2 linked regions of the Alligator mississippiensis genome follow. The protein of the gene in region 1 purifies or fractionates together with the protein of each later gene. This does not show direct contact. Links are inferred from orthologs where the notes say so. Each region holds a gene or a part of one and is shown in the gene's direction. Other genes may lie near its edges. The genes, in order: RNGTT and PPP4R3A.

The links.
Region 2: the proteins of RNGTT (region 1) and PPP4R3A purify together in Homo sapiens (affinity purification with mass spectrometry; 3 studies listed by BioGRID and IntAct, with this or other methods). This does not show direct contact. The link is inferred for Alligator mississippiensis from reciprocal best matches to the Homo sapiens genes RNGTT and PPP4R3A.

The regions. Positions count from the first base shown.
Region 1 is NC_081824.1:76,588,362-76,597,838, reverse strand, and holds the start of RNGTT (mRNA-capping enzyme), read left to right. Parts: upstream 1-5,019; 5' UTR 5,020-5,035; coding exon of another isoform or gene 5,036-5,106; coding exon 5,107-5,170; intron 5,171-9,477.
Region 2 is NC_081825.1:274,844,625-274,854,590, reverse strand, and holds the start of PPP4R3A (serine/threonine-protein phosphatase 4 regulatory subunit 3A), read left to right. Parts: upstream 1-6,067; 5' UTR 6,068-6,728; coding exon 6,729-6,870; intron 6,871-9,966. UniProt on the Homo sapiens protein: Regulatory subunit of serine/threonine-protein phosphatase 4. May regulate the activity of PPP4C at centrosomal microtubule organizing centers.

The DNA.
Region 1 (9,477 bases):
CTGTGCAAAATTTTGCCACCAGTTTTGTTTCAACGCTGTTTCAACTCATTTCAAGGTCAAAACAGCAAAATCGAAATGGAACAGATATGGTCGAAACAGCCTCGAAACAAAATGAGGCAAGTCGAAACGTTTCGCCCATACGCCATAATGGGGAAGGTTGAAACAGCTTATAACTTTGTCATTTCTGGCCTGATTTGGATGAAACTTGCAGGAATGGTAGCCCCTGCTGAGGCCACAAAGCCTGCTAAATTTTAAGGAGATAGATGCAGGGGCTTTGGGGAAACTGCCCCCCAAAATCTTGAAAGCAAAACTCATGTCATGTGTATGTGTTAAACCACAACTGTTCACCAGGGCACCATTGGGTAAAACTAGGAGTAATGATCACAAACTCCTGGAAGATCATTTCAGGCTCAACCTTAGGAAAAACTACTTCACAACTAGGCTGTCCAGACTGTGACCATTATTCCTAGTTTTCCCCAAGGGAGCCCTAGATGTACGCTTCTGATGTAGTGGTAAGCTGCTACCAAGTCCCCTTTCAGCCTTCTCTTTTTCAGACTGAAGAGTCCCAGATCCCTCAGCCTTTCCTCATACGGGTTGCTGTGCAAGTCTCTGATCATATGGGTAGCCCTTCTCTGGACTCTCTCAAGTTTTACCACGTCCTTGTTAAAAGTGCGGAGCCCAGAACTGGATGCAGTGCTCCAGCTGCGGGCTCACCAATACCGAGTAGAGCCGAGTAGAGCAGGAGAATCATTTCTTTGCAATGATTTTGCTGGTTTTGCTGGAGATGCATCAATTGATGCATGCTAGAGTATTGTTGGCCCTGCTGGCTACAGCATCGCACCGCCGGCTTATGTTCATACTATGGTCAATTATTACCCCCAGGTGTGTGGCGGCAAGTGATCGGGGATCTTCAGTCCTGCTGGTTGATGAGAGGCAGCAGTTGCACAAGCACCCATGTCACGAGATTTGCCTGTCAGCAGCTAGGGGTGCAGGGCCCCAGAACCCCCCTGCACCGATCTCCTTGACAGCTGGCAGGCTTTGTGGCCACAGCAGGGCCTGGCAGCCCAGCCTGCAGTAGTTTCTCCCCTCCCTGTGCCCCAGGACGGACAGAGTTGCACAGGCACCCATGACATGAGTTTTGCCAGTCAGCAGCTAGAGGTGCAGGGCCCCAGAACCCCTGCACCTATCTCCTTGAAAGCTGGCAGGCTTTGTGGCCTCAGCAGGGGCTATCAGCCTGCAGCTTTCACCCTGCTGCGCCTTAACACACACAGTGTCACCCATGTCACGAGTTTTGCTTGTCTGCAGCTTGTAGTACAGTTTCCCCCAAACCCCTGCACCTATCTCCTTGAAACTTGACAGGCTTTGTGGTCTCAGCAGGGGCTAGCATGCCTGCAGTTTTGACCCCACTGTGGCTTAACACATACACATGACTTGAGTTTTGCTTTCAAGATTTTGGGGTGCAGTTTCCCCAAACACCCTGCATCTATCTCCTTGAAGCTTAGTAGGCTTTGTGGCCTCAACAGAGGCTACTATTCCTGCATGTTTTATCCAAATCAGGCCAGAAATGACAAAGTTATAGGCTGTTTTGACCTTCCTCATTATATTCTATGGGCTAAACGTCAAAACAGTTTTGCCTTTTCAACCCTGTTTTGACAGAATGGAACGGAATGGAACAGCTGTTTCAAATCGAAACAAAATTTGAAACGGAACGCTGTTCTTTCGAAACATTGAAATGCTGGTCAAAACGGAACGTCGCTGTTTTGCACAGCCCTACTGCCCATTCCCCAAACCCTCTGGAGCTTGTCTTGGGGCTCCTGCCTTGACAGGTCCCACGACATTCCCTAGCACACCATCCTAGCAGGCTGGGGAATACAAAACTAGTCTACTTCTGAACAGCCCACTGCTGCCAGCTCTAGATTCTTGTGCTTCACATTACACACTCACTCTGATGCCCTCAAAGCCTGCCTAGACACCAATGGGCAGGGCACCTTCAGGAAGGGTGAGAGTCCCCAGTGGAACAACCCATATTCTACCCATATTCCCACAAGTCATTGGGGACATTGGTTGACAGGTCCTGCATGGAACTGTCTCCATGGGCAGGTATCTGACTTGCTTCACTGATTCCCCTGACACCTGCCCTTCATGTCAACAGAGAGAGATCTTGGTGCCAGGGCTAGATTAACACATAGGCAAACTAGGTACATGCCTACGGCCCTAAGTTGCAAGGAAGGCCCTGGTGTTTCCCTCTATGGCGGTGGTGCGAATGGCCCCGTCTGCCTCCCTTCCCTTCCCCTCCCTTCTGCTGGCCTTGCCTCGGTGGTGGCTGCTTCCCAGTGGCGGCTCTGACTCGGTGCTTGGCAGCACCGAGTTGGGGACGGGGGTCTCAACTCGCCTGGGGCCCAGAAGTTTGTTTGTCTATGGCCCACTAAAGGGCTAATCCAGCCCTGCTTGATGCATGCCTTCTTTGTGTGTGCCAAACTGCAGCCTCTCCACCACCTCCTCAGGAACCTCCTTCTAAGGTTCTGGCTGCACTTCTCCCTACACCTTTTATTTTATGTACTCCCTAACCATGGCCCTGCCAAGTCCTGGGATCTCTTAGTCAGCCTCCTCCTGGCTCTGGCCAAACTTGCCATGTACCAGAACAGAAATGAGGCCCTTGCTTGGGGGAATCCTGAGTGATTCCAGAGCGCCCCAAGGGATGACAAGATCAAATGGTCACAAACTCCTCTGTGACCGTTTCAGGCTAGACATAAGGAAGAACTTCTTTACTGTCCAAGCCCCCAAGGTTTGGAATAGACTGCCACCAGAGGTGGTTCAAGCACCTACTTTGAATGTCTTCAAGACACTTTTGGATGTTTATCTTGCTGGGATCCTATGATCCCTGCTGACTTCCTGCCCCGGGGCAGGGGGCTGGATTAGATGATCCTCCAGGGTCCCTTCCAGCCCGAACATCTATGAAATCTATGAAATCTATGATTGTGGGACTGTTTTTCTGTTACTCCTTTGTGCATGTCTCTGGGCAGTTTCACTGGGGGGTGTCCACAGACTCCATGAACACAGATGAGGGGCAGTGGGTGCTGTCTGGTGTTTTCTGCTTGGAGTTTTCCCTTGAAACTCTTATTATAAGAGTCCTGTCTGTTGGTTTTTTCATTTATTGTTCCCTGAAAACAGCTGTTACGCTCTTAGCGGCCTCCCTAACTGAAGGAGACTTACAATTTTCTTGTTGGGCCTAGGACCACTGCCCTTTGTGTAAGAAAAAAGCCTGCATCTCATAGTAATGGACAGCAGATGATAAGGGGAAGTTTATGTTAAAAGTATGTAAGGTCATATAGAGCTATGAAAGTGCTGTCAGCTCTAGATACAAAAAAATCTATAATCTGACTGTGTTCCTGCATGACTCTGTCATTGGACAAATAATTTCTTCACAGGAAAAAAGAAATTGCTCATCGAACTGCAACTAGTCAGTGTACCGACATCAGAACTGACCCTTCGCACTTGTTTGTTGCCTCTTATACACTTTCTAAATATGCTTGTGAGTGACTCCCTGTACTCGGAGCGTGTCTACAATCAGGCTTCTGACTACAGAGTAGTGTGGACTTGTCCTAGCTAGTTAGGTTGGGTACCGGTGAGTCTAAGGGTATGTTTACACTGCAGCAATTTGTTTTGGCCAGGACACCTCCATGCACACATTTCCCACCTACTCCCACTGACATGCTCCAAATTCAGAAATGCTTTGGCGAGGCTGCCCCTCTGTGGCTGTTTTTAAGAGCTTGGTCTTTGGTGTACTGGGAACAACTTCACCCTCCTATCCTGGATTTGGAGCAGGATTGAATATAGGCAGGTCACACTCTGGGGGCCATGCTGGAAGTAAGCTCTCGGCATGGCAGCACGATGCTTTGTGTGGGTTAGTTCCCACCGTCTTTACTCAGTGTCTCTGGCAGGATTTGGAGCACAGGCTGAGTTCTGCGCAGCCTCTGCCTGATCACTACCAGCCCCTGAGAACTACATCTGTGGTACTACTTGAGGCCACTAGCGTCTTGCTTCAGCTTTGGTTTTTGTCTGTGGAAAAATAACAGAGCTCTTCTTCTGTGCCAAAGAAAAAAGCACTGCAGGCTGGCATGATTCAGACACTACAGGCTTCTATCTGAAATCTCTGGGCTAATCACATGTAGGTGTTTGCACATCTAACCAGGCTGATACTGGGGCACCTTGGATGAGCATCATAGGGCCCCCATGTTCTGCCTCCACAGCTGCAACTGGAGCGTGTAGGAATCTCCTCAGAAAGGGGTGGATCCTGGGGGAGTACTGGCATACTTGCACCCTCCTTGGAGTCCTGTCCATCTAATGTTTAAAACCAACTGCCCGGCAGTGGCAGCAGCATTTCTAGTCAGGCAGTGCTGAGGCAGTCAACTGACTTCACAGCTCTTTATAATCGACCCCACCCCTTCTAAACTCTTCATTCCCACAGCACTAAGGACCCGCTCTTCTTTTTTAATGGTCTTGCTGTTCCACCAGGTGAGCCAGCCTCTGTTTGGCCAGCCCTCGGCTGCTCCTGGTAACTCGTTTCACAGCCCTGCAGCTGTTTTTAACTCATTTCAATGAAGCTGCCAGGTTAACCCTTTGGTGGGCCCTAGGCAAACTCCTGAGCTGAAGATGAGATGTTTATATTACTTTTTTCACTCAATAATTATATTGTGTAACATAAGCACAGCTGGACCCCTTCTTCACCCAGGAACCTAGGCACGCGCCTAGTTTGCTTCTGCGTTAATCTCTGGACGCTGCCTTAGGTTTTGCTCGCACCTCAAGGCGCACAAGCCCCGCCCCCGGGTCTCCCCGGGACCCCAGTGACGTGACGGCACTGAAGGGCGGGGCCAGGCGGGGTCTCCCACACCCGCCCCAGGGGCCGCACGGCGGGGATGCTGAGGCCCCACCCCCCGGCGTGCAGAGCAGTGCCGGAAGCGGAAGGTGCCGGGGCGGAAGTGGCTGTGCGCGGTGCATGGCGGGCCGGCGGCGGGCGTTGCGGAGTCGGGGCTGAATGAAACGGCGGCGGGCGCGGGCCGCGGAGCGCTGGGAGCCGCCGGGGCAGGGGCAGGGGGCGGCGCCGCCATGGCCTTCTGCAAGATCCCGCCGCGCTGGCTGCGCTGCCCCCGGCGGGGGCAGCCGGTGGCAGGTGAGCGGGGCGTGCCGGCCCGGCCCGGCCCGGCCCGGCCCGGGGGCTGCGGGGTCCGGTGGCGTGTCCCGCCTCTGCCGCGGGGGCGAAGGGAGACGAGCTGCCCAGTGTGGGGCACTCCGCCCTGCCGGGTGCCCCCGGCCGCAGGCCCTCGGGCTTGGCAGTCGGGTACCTCTGGGGTCAGCACCACCTCCTTCCCCGCTCTGCCCTAGGCACGTGCCCCTTGGCCTCCCCTCCCTTCCCTTCCTTGGGCCTCCTGGGGCCTCTTTCTCAACCCCCTGCTTCTCAGCATCCCTCACACTTGTGCATACGGCTCGGCACCTGGTCTCCACAGGCCAGGTGGACCTGGTGGCTAGGTGCTGTCCCTGTGTCTCTATGATCACTGGCTGTTTCTGGCGTGAGGGCAGAAATCCTCCCCCCTGGTTTTCAGTCTCCAGCAGTGACCTGGGTCATGTGTGACAAGTTCACATTCTGCACCGGGAGCAAATGTGTGTCAGGCCAGGCAGAGCTGGGAAGCATCCCTGCCAGCAGCCTGAAGGAGTGGATTTGGTACTCCGGGTACATCTTGTGTTACATTATGATACAGTGATATAATTAAGCATGCATTAAATAACAATGCTATCATCTAGTATATCTATTTTTGTTTTTGAAGTGAGGTGCTGTTAAATTCTGACAAGTTACATAGGGGCCCCATGAGTTTATAAAGGTTGAGAACTGCTGCTTTAGAGTGAACACCAGCGCAAATATAGGCATGTCGCATCTTACACGGGGGGTTACATTCTGAAGGCAGCATGTAAAGCGAAAATCGTGTATAGTGAAATCACATATTACCATGCCAGTGGTGACTGCCTCTGCTTCCAAAACCTCCCGCCGTCACGGAGCTGTGCTTAGAGCTGTGCGGCCGGCGGCAGCGGTGCAGCGCGGGGTGGTGGTGGGGATGGCTGTGCGCTGCCCGGCCACCGCCACGCCCGGCAGCTGGCCACACAGCTCTGGGTGCGGCTCCATGGTGGCGGTGGGAGGTTTCGGAGGCAGAGGCAGTCACCGCTGGCAGCGTGGTAGTGGCCAGGCCTCCAGGTAAGCGGCAATGCCGTGTGCAGACTCAAGCCCTGCCCCACCTCCCCACCTGCATATAGTTGAATTCACGCAAGTTAAATGCGCGTATGATGCAACATGCCTGTATATTTGTTTAGTTTTTCCACACTGTACTCTGACTGCTTTCTTTAGATCCTTGTGGCTCAAGAGACCTACCAATCTCTTCTGCCAGATTTCTTTTTGGCATCAGAAACCTCTCAAAATTTGTCACTTAGTTTTGTTGGTTTACTTACCCTCTGATTCTTCGTTTGTACAAAATGTGTGTGCCTCATAGATGCTTTTATTTTGAGGTACCCAGGCCACTTCTAAGGATGTTAGAAGTACACCGATACATTGGTCTGATGTGGGATCAGCACTGACGTAAAGAAAATTTTCTGTATCGGAAATCGGCCCAATGTGGCTGATAACTTGTCCAGTAAATGCCTGTGCATGCACACAGCTACAGCTCAGCACGTAGGCAGTGAGCAGCAGAGCCACCAGCATGAAGAGCTGCATGCAGCTGGTAAGTCTGGTGTGGTGGAAAGGGAAGGAACATGGAGGCGCAGATCAAGGCCCCCATGGTGAGGGAGTCCCTTGCATTGGCCCCCGTGGGGTCGGGGCAGGGGCTGCCTGGCTGGGGTGGGTATGGGGCGCAGGAAGGAGAGTGAAGTGTGCAGCTCACGTTGCTGTTTGTGGCTTGTCCAGTGCTCGTCTGGTAGCTCCCACCTCTGCTGCCGCTCGTTCGGGAGGGCACAGGGAGGCAGGACGTGTGCCCCTGATCTGCATGGGGCAGGGCGGGCTGGGGCCAGGCTTTTCCCAGCTGGGCAGATCCGAGGGCACATCCCCCCCCAATGCCCTCCCGGATGAGTAGTGGGAACAGTGGCCGGAGCTGCCAGATGAGCCGTGCGCAGTGGCAGGAGCCGCCCCCCCCAACGAGCTGTGCCTCCATCCTATGCCGACCCCAGCCCACAGCTAGAGCCTTCCCTGTGCCGTGCAGATCTGGGTGGCACACACCCCACCCCTGCGGATGAGCCACTTGTGGCTCTCTCTCATGCCTGTCCCTGCCCCGGCTGGTCAGCATGTGCACCAGCTCCATTCCCTCCCTCACCACAGGGGCCTTGATATGCCATCCCCCCACTCCCCACACACACACCCCTTCCACCACACCAGACTTATCAGCTTCAAGCTGAAGAGCTGTGTATCGAAAATTGGATTGGTATCATAGGATTCGTAGATGTTGGGGTCGGAAGGAACCTCAGTAGGTCATCGAGTCTGACCCCCTGCCCTGGGCAGGAAAGAACTTTGGGGTCTGCTAGGAGCTTGTCCAGCCTCCTCTTGAAGACCCCCAAGGTAGGGGACAGTATCACCTCCCTTGGAAACCCATTCCAGATTCTGGCAACCCTTACTGTGAAGAATTTCTTTCTAATGTCCAACCTAAATCTGCTGTCTGTCAATTTTGGCCATTGTTCCTAGTTACTCTAGAGGGTGCCCTAGTAAATAGAGCATCTCCTATTCCGTGCTGCCCTCCCCTGATGAATTTATAGGCAGCCACAAGATCACCTCTCAGCCTTCTCTTGCAAAGGCTGAAGAGATCTAGGTCCCTCAGTCTCTCGTTGTAGGTCCTTGCCTGCAGGCCTCTGACCATATGAGTGGCCCTCCTCTAAGCCCTCTCAAGGTTCTCCACATCCCTCTTGAAGTGCATCTGCTAATGCATGAGAAAGTGTGGTTAGCCTTGTTGATCACTTTGTCACATTGATGACTTAGGTTCATCTTGGAGTCAACCATGACGCCAAGATCCCTTTCTGCTGCTGTGCTGCTGGGAAGGTCATCCCTCAGCCTGTAAGTGTGTTGGTAGTTCTTTTTGCCCAGGTGCAGCACTTTGCGCTTGTCTTTGTTGAACTGCATCCTATTTTGTTCTGCTCTTTTTTCCAGCCTGTCCAGATCCGCCTCGATCTGTTTCCTACCCTCTGGTGTGTTAACTTTGCCCCATAATTTGATATCATCTGCAGACTCGGACAGGGTGCTCTCCATGCCCTCATCCAAGTCACTGATGAAGACATTGAATAGCACCAGTCCGAGGACCAAGCCTTGCGGGACTCCACGGCCCACATCTTTCCAGGTCGATATCGACCCGTCCACCACCACTCTCTGCATGCAACCCCTAAGCCAATTTGCCACCCTCCTGGTCGTGTAATCATCTACTTCACAGCCTGTCAGTTTGTTTATGAGAACAGAATGAGATACCATATCAAAGGCCTTCTTAAAGTCTAGTTAAATGACATCTACCTCAGCATCTGCATCTAAGCATTTTGTGACCTGGTCATAAAAAGAAACAAGATTAGTCAGGCAGAATGAACTCATACTGATTTCCTTTCAGCATTATTTCCTCTGCTGGGCTTCCACAAATGTGATCCTTAATGATTTTTTCCAGAGTTTTCCCAAGGATTTAGATGAGACTAATTGGCCTATAGTTTCCTGGTCCCTTCCTCCTCCCCTTCTTGAAAATAGGGACCACATAGGCTCTTTTCCAGTCCTCTGGGACCTGACCAGAGCACCATGAATGCTTGAACAGACGTGCCAGCGGCTCTGCCATGACATTGGCCAATTTCTTCAGCACCCTTGGATGAAGTTCATCCAGACCTGCTGATTTGAACACATCCAGCCCCTCCAAGTGCCCTTTCACTAAGTCTGCGCTAACAGTTGGTGGGCTGTTGTCCCTCCTGTGTCTGTCTGATCCAAATGTGAGATGAGATGTGTTTTTGTCCGTGTCTAGGAATACAGATGCAAAGAACTCATTGAAGAGCTTAGCTTTGTCCCCCCTCTCTGTCACCAGTTGCCCTAGTTTGTCCTGTAGGGGTCTTATGCTACCCTATGCTTTTCCTTTACTCCCTGTATACCTGAAGAAGGACTTTTTTGTTGTTCTTAATTTTTGTCGCCAGCCTAAGTTCTAATCCTGCTTTGGCCTTCCTAACTGATTTCCCTGCAAGTGCGAGCCAGGGAGGTATCCTCCTTCTTGGTAGCTACCCCTTGTTTCCACAGTCTGTATACCTCTTTCTTTGCCTTTTGAGCTTTCCTGGACTTCCCTGTTCAGCCAAGAGGGCTTCTTGGCTTCTTTGCCTCCTTTTATGCGCAATGGGATTGTCTCCTCCTACGCCTGTAGGATTGCTCCCTTAAGGAATGACCACCCTTCCTGGACCCCCATTTCGCCAATGTTCTTGAGCTTTAATGCCTCACTA
Region 2 (9,966 bases), on another chromosome or scaffold:
GATCCAGGTATGTATTTTTGGGAGTGGAGAGGCATCCTGTTAGTCTGACTCTTGCAACTTGTATAGAGTCAATCATTTCATAGACTTCATAGACATTAGGGCTGGAAGGGACCTCGGAAGATCATTGAGTCCAGCCCCCTGCCCCAGGGGCAGGAAGCCAGCTAGCTAGGGTCAAAGGATCCCAGCAAGATAAGCATCCAAACGTTTCTTAAAAGAGTCTAGAGTAGGTGCTTGGACCACCTCTGGAGGGCGTCTATTCCAGGCTTTGGGGGCTCGGACAGTAAAGACGTTTTTCCTTATGTCCAGCCTAAAATGGTCTTGGAGGAGTTTGTGACCATTGGTCTTTCTCATCCCTTGGGGCACTCTGGTGAACAGGCATTCACCCAGATCCTGATGCATATCCCTTATGTACTTATAGGCTGCCAGCAGGTCACCCCTGAGCCTGCGCTTCTCCAGGCTGAAGAGTCCCACGGCTCTCAGCCTCTCTCCATAAGGCCTGTTCTCTTGCCCTTTGATCATGCATGTGGCTCTTCTCTGGACTCTTTCAAGCTTCTCTACATCCTTCTTGAATTGTGGAGCCCAGAACTGGATGCAGTACTCCAGCTGTAGCCTCACCAAGGCCGAATACAGTGGGAGGATGGCATCCTGAGAGTTACTTGAGAAACATCTATGGATGCAAGCCAGCATTTTGTTTGCTTTACCAATTGCGACATTGCACTGGTGACTCATGTTCATCTTGTGGTCAATCATTCTTGGTTGCGCTGCTAGTGAACATAGCACTGCCAAGCCTATATACATGCTGCAGGTTTTTTCCCCCCCAAGGTGGAGCACCTTGCATTTATCGGTATTGAAAGTCATCAGGTTTATATCTGCCCACTTTCTGAGCCTATCCAGGTCAGCCTGGATCACCAGCCTATCCTCAAATGTGGACGCTTTGTAGCAAGAAACCTTTTTTTTGCCTGCCCACCCCCCTCCAATGTGAAACCCTTCCATATGGCAAAAAGCCCCTTTTGCAGTATTTGCCCCCTTTGGGGGATGCTTTCTCTTTTCTACCTTTTCTTCCTTCCTCCCTTTTCTTCTATTGTTATTTTTATAGAATATAAGGTGTACTTGTAATAAAATATAGTTTGTAGATGCTTTTATGGGTATAAAATAGTATTCTGCATCAGTATGTCCCCCTTCCCCCATTGTATTTGGTCTATTTGTTGCATGTGCCATGGTATTTTACCCTTCTATGTTTTATATTCTATGCTTTTTAACTTTGTAACAAATGTACTTTAAGTTTAAAAGTAAGTTGTACCATGTAACAATATTAGCAAGGGCAGGAATCAAACCACAGCTTCTCTGTATGCAGTGGGTCCCTGAATGAATCTTGGTTGATTGTGTAACACAGTAGCTAGACAGGATAACAGGCTAACAAGTGGCAATTAACACCTACCAAACCACAGACTAAGGAGAGGATTAATACAGAGCCAGGAACTCCCTGAAACTTTACTGTTAAAGGTACAAAGGCCCTGGTTTGAACTAATCACAGCAGTGAATTAATCAAACTTTATCAACAGACTCCCAAGACTTATGTACCTGTGGATGTGACCCCTGGGGCTGACAGATGCCATCCAGCAACCACCAAGGGGGATGTCTCACGAGGTCAATTACCCCTGGATTGGGTTAGCCCGAAAATTGGGGAGTCACCAAAGTCTGCCAGAGAGGGATAAAAGGCAGCAAAGAATGATCCCCCAATGGCGCCCTTTCTGACCTGACCAGCACCCTGCCTGCCCAGCCAGAAGGACCAGCCAGCAACCCCCTTCTGAAGCAACATCACACTGAAAGAACCCTCGACTGGCCATCGACAGCAGACTCTAGCACTTGGGGATAGGTATATCTTGACATCGGTGCTTAGTGTTCATAGCTAGCTACTGTGAGTAGGTGTGCATGAATGTGTGTGTCTGAGGGGATCAGCCCCAAGGTTTATGATCTGACTTTTGCATCCGTCTAATAAACTAGAATTCTATGATGATCCTGTGAGTTGGTCCTTTGTCGCCAACAGCTCTACCCCAAAGTTTAGTGTCATCGGCGAACCTGGCCAGTCCACTTCTGACACCAGTGTCCACATCGTTAATAAAGACATTAAAGAGAACAGGTCAAAGAATGGAGCCTTTAGGGACACCACTGGTCACAGAGTGCCATAATGATTCACTTCGTCAACTACCACTCTCTGGGTCCAGCCTCAGAGCCAATTCCCCAGCCATTGGACTGTGATGTAGCTGAGGCCACAGTTGGTCAATTTTTCTATGAAGAGATTATGGGACACCAGATCAAAGGCTTTTTTAAAGCCTTACATCAGGGGTGTCCAACCTCTTTGAATGTGGGGCCCGATCATGAACTTTTTATCACCTAGTGGGCTGGTGAGCCATATTCAAAAACCTCACAGGAAGCGGTATCACATCAGGAAGTGATGTCATGTGACCTTTGACATCAATTAAGTTGCAGGAAGTGACAATGAAATGGGTCTAACCAGTTCAAAACTCTCCCTCTATAGCATCCACCTCTGCCACTGTTTGGGACAGGATACTGAGCTAGATGGACCATTGGGCTGGACAAGCATGGCACTTTTTATGCTCTTCTGTTCTTTGGCTGAGCTTCCAAAATATGGCTGAGATTTGTAAAAAGGGGTAGATAGACATGTTACAAAGTTGTCATAAAAGATTTGAAGCCCTCTAAATTCCATTCATTTTAATGGAAGTTGACCTTTTGATTCAGCTTTGAAAATCTCAGCCCAAGGTGCCAACCAAATAAGTCAAAATATATTTTGCATTTCTATGCAGTGCATCTATGTGGGGCTCTCCAAGCATTTTACAAACATTATATTAACCTCAGGATATCCCTGTTTTTCAGAAGAAATGTGATGGTGAGGACATTTTGGGAACATCTCTCACTCTCTGTGTGATCTGCTTCTACTATCCTTGGACCACCCTAGAAGGGCCCTCACTACCTCATTTCCAGTTCAAAGCAGGTAAAAGTGTAAGTGGGTAGGAAGGGTTTATATTTTGGCAGCAGGTTTGAGTGGCTTGAAGCTAGTGAAGATGTACCCACAATTAGTCACTGACCAGAGTGGGAATACAGTTGTCCTCACTTATTAACATGGCTCCAAGGCCCGGCACTGTTTGTGCCTACATGTTGCTCTCATGTCCTCTTGCTTTCCTAAATCTCATGAGAGTAGAGGATTCCCATCATGCCTCCTGGACTGCCGTCACCCAATAGCTGTCCTAGTTTTAAGGTTGTGCTTCTGACTCTTTCATGGCTTCTTTTAGGGTGCACACTTAGAACTCTGCCTTTTCCTTCCCACCCATTTTGCTGAATTGTGATTATTCCTATGGGGCATGAATTTAGTCCAGTGGCTATGATTCTGCTTTCTCATACAGAGGTAATGACTCTCACAAAGCATGGCATATTTTAGTAGGATAAAAACATTTTGAAGGCCATACAGAAAACAATAAGCAGTTTTTACTCACATGAGCTTACCAGGTATCAACCACCTGCTACTTGGGTTCCTGGCAGATACAGACACAAGTTTATTAGCACATTGTTCCAGAGTGAGTCTCTGTGCCATAGCCTACATCAAGTCTCAGATCTAGGGAGCCTGACCCCTCCCCAGCCATAGGCTGGTCATGTAATACCAATCTGCTGGCCGGTGCAGACCCGGCTGGGCTCCTCCCATCCTCAGAAGCATGTGGGAAGCCAGCTTCAGCTGCATGCCACTTTTCCTGGCTAGTGCTGACCCAGCTGGGTCCGTCCCATCTGGAGCAGCACACGGCTGAAGTCGGCTTCTCACAAGCTGCTGGGGCTGGGAGGAGGCCGGCCAGGTCTGCACTGGCCAGCAGAAGCGGTGGCGGAGCTGTGTGCCACTTGGGACTGACTTGGTGCAGGCAGGGGGAAAATGCAGCTGAGCCCCTGCTGCTCCGGCCGGGCTCATCCCATCCTGAGAGGCACACGGCTCTGCCACCACTTCTGCTGGCCGGTGCAGACCCGGCTGGGCTCCTCCCGTCCCCAGCAACATGTGGGAAGCCGGCTTCAGCTGCATGCTGCTTTTCCTGGCTAGTGCAGACCCAGCCGGGTCCATCCCATGCAGAGTATGTTGGACAAGCCTGCCTTAAGTCACCCTTGTTTTAGCAGAGTTTTTCAGATTGAAGCCCATGGGACTGTTTTCTTCTTCCTTCTTTCTAATTCTAAATGTAGTTTTAGCCAAATATGACACAGCTAATAAAAAGCTGCTTGGAGCAAGGGAAAAGAATGGCTAGAGACCACCCCTGCTTACCTAATATGCTCTCAGATGCACTTTGCTATGCTTGCAGTGACTGCCAAAATATTTTTAAATGCCCAACTACAGTGTCAAGCATACAAAAGAGACCTTAAAACTTTCACTTAAGTTGGCTGATTTTGTATAACAAGGGAAGACCATTCATACAAAGTAGTATCTCCCTACCATTCCCCAAAGTAGTATCACACTATGTGGCCAGAAGACAGGAGGACTTTCCTATGTCTCGGGCCCAAACCTGTGCTTTTCAAAAACAAACAAACACAACAAACTCCAACCAACCAACCAACCAACAAACACTTTCAGACCATTGCATACAGCAGTCAAGGAAACAGTTGCATACAGTTTCAGCCATGCCCTGGCTGAAGTCCCACTCTTCAGAGTTTGTGCCGGTGGCAAGGTATGATTTTACCATCTTTGTTAAATGTTCTCATTTTCATTAGGTAGATAAATACATATTCACAGCCAGTTGTCTCATGGTCACTGCTGAGGCCCAGAAGTAGGTCCCAAATAAATGCCCACAGTTGAACACAACTAAACTGTGGAGGAGTTCAGAATTGGTTATTGATTTTGTGATTAGCCACAATCTCTCTTAGTGGGGTATAGCAAAAAATTGAAGATGGGGAAAGAAAAGAGTTAGCTGGAGAGAGACCTTACCAGGGTGGGGTTGTAGCACACTAGGCTTAGCAAAATTTATTCTTATAAAAAAATGTCAATGTCCACTGAACAAAAAAATCAAAGATTTAATCCTCTGAATTAAGTGCCTTTTGCAATGGACCTCTGTATGCAGCGGAAGGATAGGAAGGTCCCAGAGACACCAGTGAGGTTGCCTACTTTTTCAATTTTGGTGGAGTCTTTAAGGAAAAATCTGTCAAGCATATGCTCTGATGTTGGCAGCAGCAGCAGCTTCTGTTTGTTACTGCAGCTGGTGAGACGCATCTCAGTCTGTTCAGTATAGTCCAGAAGCCGTGTAACTTTTGCACTGCTTAGCCATGAATGAGCCTAATAGAAAGGATGCTTTTGCAGAAGGATTACTTCATCTGCATTGGACAAAACAGAAGCAACCCAACATCTGAAGCTGGGCCTTAAGCATGATCTATCTATGTAAGCGGGAGGAAGGAAGGGAAAAAAGAAGCTTCTTAGAGCACAGGCTTCTTTGCCAGCTGGGCGTCTGCTAGGACTGCCTGACCACAACCTCAGCCCCCCACTCTGCTCCTACACAGGCAGTTTCAGGAGCACCAAGGCATGGTTTTGCCATCTCCGGTTGGCTCCTTCCCCTCAGATGAGCTGTAGGCCTGTCTCTGCCACTCTGGGGGCAGATCTTGGTACCCCCAAGCTGCTCCTTACGGCTGCAGTTCCTGGCTCTAGCAGCTTGCTATTGACCCACAAGGGCAGCTCTGGAAACACAACCCAGGTGTTTTCTCACCCCGAGCAGCTTCGTTCCCAGAGTACACTTCAAAGCCCTGACCCACCGGGCGGCTGGGAGCCACCTGGGCCGTGCCCCCTATGCCATCCCACCTGGCCGAGCCCCCACGTGCCAGAGGTGGCCACGCGAGGCAGCCCTGCGGCTGAGGGGAAAGCGCCGCGAGGTGGGGCTGCCCCGGCCTGGCACTGCGGGCTGGGTGTGCACGGCTGGGGGGCTGAGGTGAGGCGCTGCCCCGGCACGTGCCGCAGCGCCGACACCTCCCGCCCGCGAGTGCGCTGCCCCTTTAAGCGGCGACGGCCCGTGCCGCCGCTGGCTGGGAGACCCCGCGCTGTAGTGAGCGGTGAGACCAAGATGGCGGCCGCGCAGTGACTGAGGCGGAGACGGACAGGCCGCGCCGCGCCCCCGCCCGCCGACAGGACCGGATCGGACCCGACCTGACCCGACAGGACCGGACGGGAGGGGGCCGGGGCCGGGGCCGGGTCGGGCCGCCCGCCCGCAACGCAGCGAGCCCGCGGAGCCAGGCCGCAGCAGCAGTAGCCGCCGCCGGCGGAGGAAGGAGAACATGGCGGCGGAGCCGGGCCAGGAGTGAAGCCGCCGCCTGCGAGCGGAGCCCATGGGGCGGGCTGGGCGCTGAGGCCGCCGCCGCCGGGCCGAGCAGGGGGAGAGGCCGCGCCGGCCCCGCGCTGCGAGCGGGGCAGGAGCGAGCGAGCGAGCGGCGGGGCCGTGGCCGTGGCCGGGGCCGGGCAGCTCCGCACAATAGAGCCGGGCCGCCGCCGATGTCCCTCTGACGCCACTCGTGCTCCCTGCCCTTGACCGGGCTGCGCCCCCTCGGCCCGCCCGGGCCATGCGAGCCGCGGCCTGAGGAGCGCCGGCCGCTGCGTGGGGCCCTGCCCGCTGCCGCCGCCGCCGCCTCCCGTGCGGGCCGCCCCCTCCTCCTGTCTCTCCAGGTGTCCCAGGCCGGGCGGCTGCGGCGCGGCCGGCGGCAGGATGACTGACACCCGGCGGAGGGTGAAGGTTTACACGCTGAACGAGGACCGGCAGTGGGATGACCGGGGCACCGGGCATGTGTCCTCTGGCTACGTGGAGAGGCTGAAGGGCATGTCCCTGCTTGTCAGGGCAGAGAGCGATGGTAAGTGTCTGAGGTTGCGGCGCTTCCTTGCTGAAAGCAGCTGGGGCTTGGCTTTCTGTAGTGAGCCTGGCCCCTGCCCTTCATCTGGGATCCCTGAACCAGCCAGGTAACAGCTCTGGGTCACTCCTGTTAGGCGCGGGGATAGGGCTGGAGATTGGCGCCTTGCACAAACATTGTAGTACGCGTGGTGTTTACACTGGATACGCGGGCACTGGCCTGCCTGCCAAATACGCTCCGTTCTGGTTGCAGGCTGCAAACCAGGCTGTCTTCTGCCTTTGCCTGTGGGATTGGCTTTGTGGGAAATGTTTCCCTGGATCCTTTCTGAAAATGATGACAGGCTTCCCCTGATGGAAGGAACTGTTCAGAGTTTTATTAGTGTCTTTATATCTGTTCTGTAGGCTTAAAATGCAAACGCGCATCTTGTGCCAGATCCACACATGCTGTAGCATTGCTGGTTTCAAGGCAGTACAAAAACACCTTTTGGGTATCTTCCCCCCCCCCCCCCCCTTGGACTAGCCACAGCGCTCAACACTCACCAAAACTGATTTTGAGTTGCTGCATAATGCTTCATTTTAAGGGAATTTATGAATTTATTACCCATTTGCCAGGCACTCCAAACATGTTTCTCTAGAGCACTGTGTGTAGGTTTTATGTAAGAATTATCCATGGCTATTGGATCAACAAGTTAATGGTTGTTGTGGTTACTACAGATTTTATTTTAAAATACATCTTGCTTCATGTTAATAGTGGTACGGAGCAGCAAAGAAGATAGATTTAACTGGTTAAACCTCAAGTTTATAGTTGTGAGAGCCTTCTGTCCTGTGGACCATCTTGCAGACTGCTGTTGGTTGCAGGCAGCAACCAAACTGAAATTAAAGCTAGACAACTTCAGTGAGGTCACAGATTTCAGCCAGTGGAGGGAAAGGTCCTGAGAACCTTCACTATTATGCTAACTCATGACATCCTCTAGTGAAGGACTTTAAACTTAGGAAACTAATAATCAAAACCCTTCCTGATTGATTCAGTTAATGATAATTTAGCAGTTTAGAGAATAACAAACTACACAAAAGCTGGATGTATATATATAAAATAGGTTTTTACCAAATCATTTCAAGACTGTCCTCTATTAGCCCTTATGAAATAAGACAGACATTCAAGATTGGAACAGACTTCCACTGTTGAATCTCAGTACCAGAGTTGAGAGGTAGAGGGAGGAAACCATTAGTGGTGTATCTAAAACCTGGCTTACTTTTGTGTTTATTTAGCATCTTTATAATGGATATAATTATAGCACATTCTGTCTCCATGACTGCTGTTGAAGACCCTTAATAAATAAGTAGAATAAAACTGAAACGCCTCACAAAGGAAACTGAAACATAGAGTTAAATATATAAAATGGAGTGGGCTGAATTTGAAGCGTCAACAGAGCCTGTTTTAAAGTATTGTCTTTGCGTTGATTTCAGTAGAATTTGTGTGTTGTCTCAAGGCAGAATTGAACCTAAATAACATTCAAGTTGGTAGTTTTTTTGCTGTAATTTTAAAGTGGGAGTGAGATGAAGTATTTTAAATAATGTTTTAATGTTTATTTTAGCATGACTAAATACCCATTTATATACGTTATATTTTCAAAAAAATATGTAACTGTCCAACTGAAAGTGTTCAAACTTGTTGCTTTCAGTTACAGTAGTCTTATTTAATGAGATGTCACACCTGTTGTACCTTTTACAGTATATGCAGTTTGTTATTGGGTAATGAAATCCTCTGCACAAAGTGTTTGTGGCTAATACCAGTAGGACTTTGGTAACTGTTACTTTTTTTCCCACAGTTTACCATATCAGACAAGACCAGAACTTTACAAATGCATCTTCTTTCCAAAAATAAGCTACTGGAAATTGGGGTGGAAAATGGAGGGAGCAGAGGGTCCAGTCCTCTGGGAGCTGAACTGGTCTTCCCTTCCCTTCTTGTTGACCTGTCCAGTAAGCCAAACTGGCTGACCATTAATTCTCAAGCCGGGTGGGCAGCCAGCAGTACCTGCTATGTCCCACAGCTAGGGGGTTAACAGAGCAGTCATAGCTTTTTGCTTCTCCTTCCCCTGTCACTGCAGGTGTCTGTTTTCATTGGGGAAAAAAATACCCTATGTGTATTTTCAAGGAAAGATTTTTCTTTTTCTTTCCATTTCTACCCCTTCTCTTTCTCCCCCTCACCCACCCCATTCATCTCAAGAAAAGGTGTGTCCTGTTCCCGGGAGGGCATGTGATACCCAAGAAAATACAATATGTAGCTGTCTGTTTTAAGTTTAACAGGCTAGAGCATGAGAGATGACAGACTTAATTCTCTGTTATTCCTAAATTTAAGCAAGCAAATTAACCAGATAGTTTCAGTATCAAAGTCAGCTGTTTACAAGCCAATCATTAAGGCTTGCTCTTATGTAATGACTTTAATAAATGACAGTGTAATGTGCAGTTATTTATAAATATGAGCAAATAATTCTTTAAAAATAGTCAAACCATATTTCTAGTGCATAGGTATGACAGGTCTTAATTTGACTGCTGCCCCTCACTTTGTCTCCACATCCCCATTAGTTCGGTGTTTGCTCTCTGCTGTCTGTTGCTCCCTTGTTTGCTGTGGCATTATTTATTTCCTTCCTCCTTTTGATTCCTTTTTTCCTGCAGTTTGGGGTTGTGGGTTGGTTTGCTTTTGGTAAGGTAGTGCACCTGTTTCAGTTTACTTAGGGAAGCTGATGGAAATTTCTGCCTTCCAGATAGGTCAGAGAGGGAATGCAACCAGCAGTCCATCTTATCTACTGTCTGGTCAGGTGGTACAGCCACTCACAACAGCTAGAACATTGGAACTGCTGTATTTATATTAGGCCAGTAGGGTACATGTTGTCAAAGAAATGACAGTTGACACTGGTTAAACCCAGATGTATTCCAAATTGTCTGCCACAGTTTTTAATATTACTATACTTAGTTTGTTAGAGAATGGATTATGCCCTGAAATATCAGGGTTTATAGCACTATTTTTTTTTTTAAACCCACCTGTTGCGACTTTAGAAGTTCATATCATTATTTGTCAATCCTTTATTTAGGTCTTGTA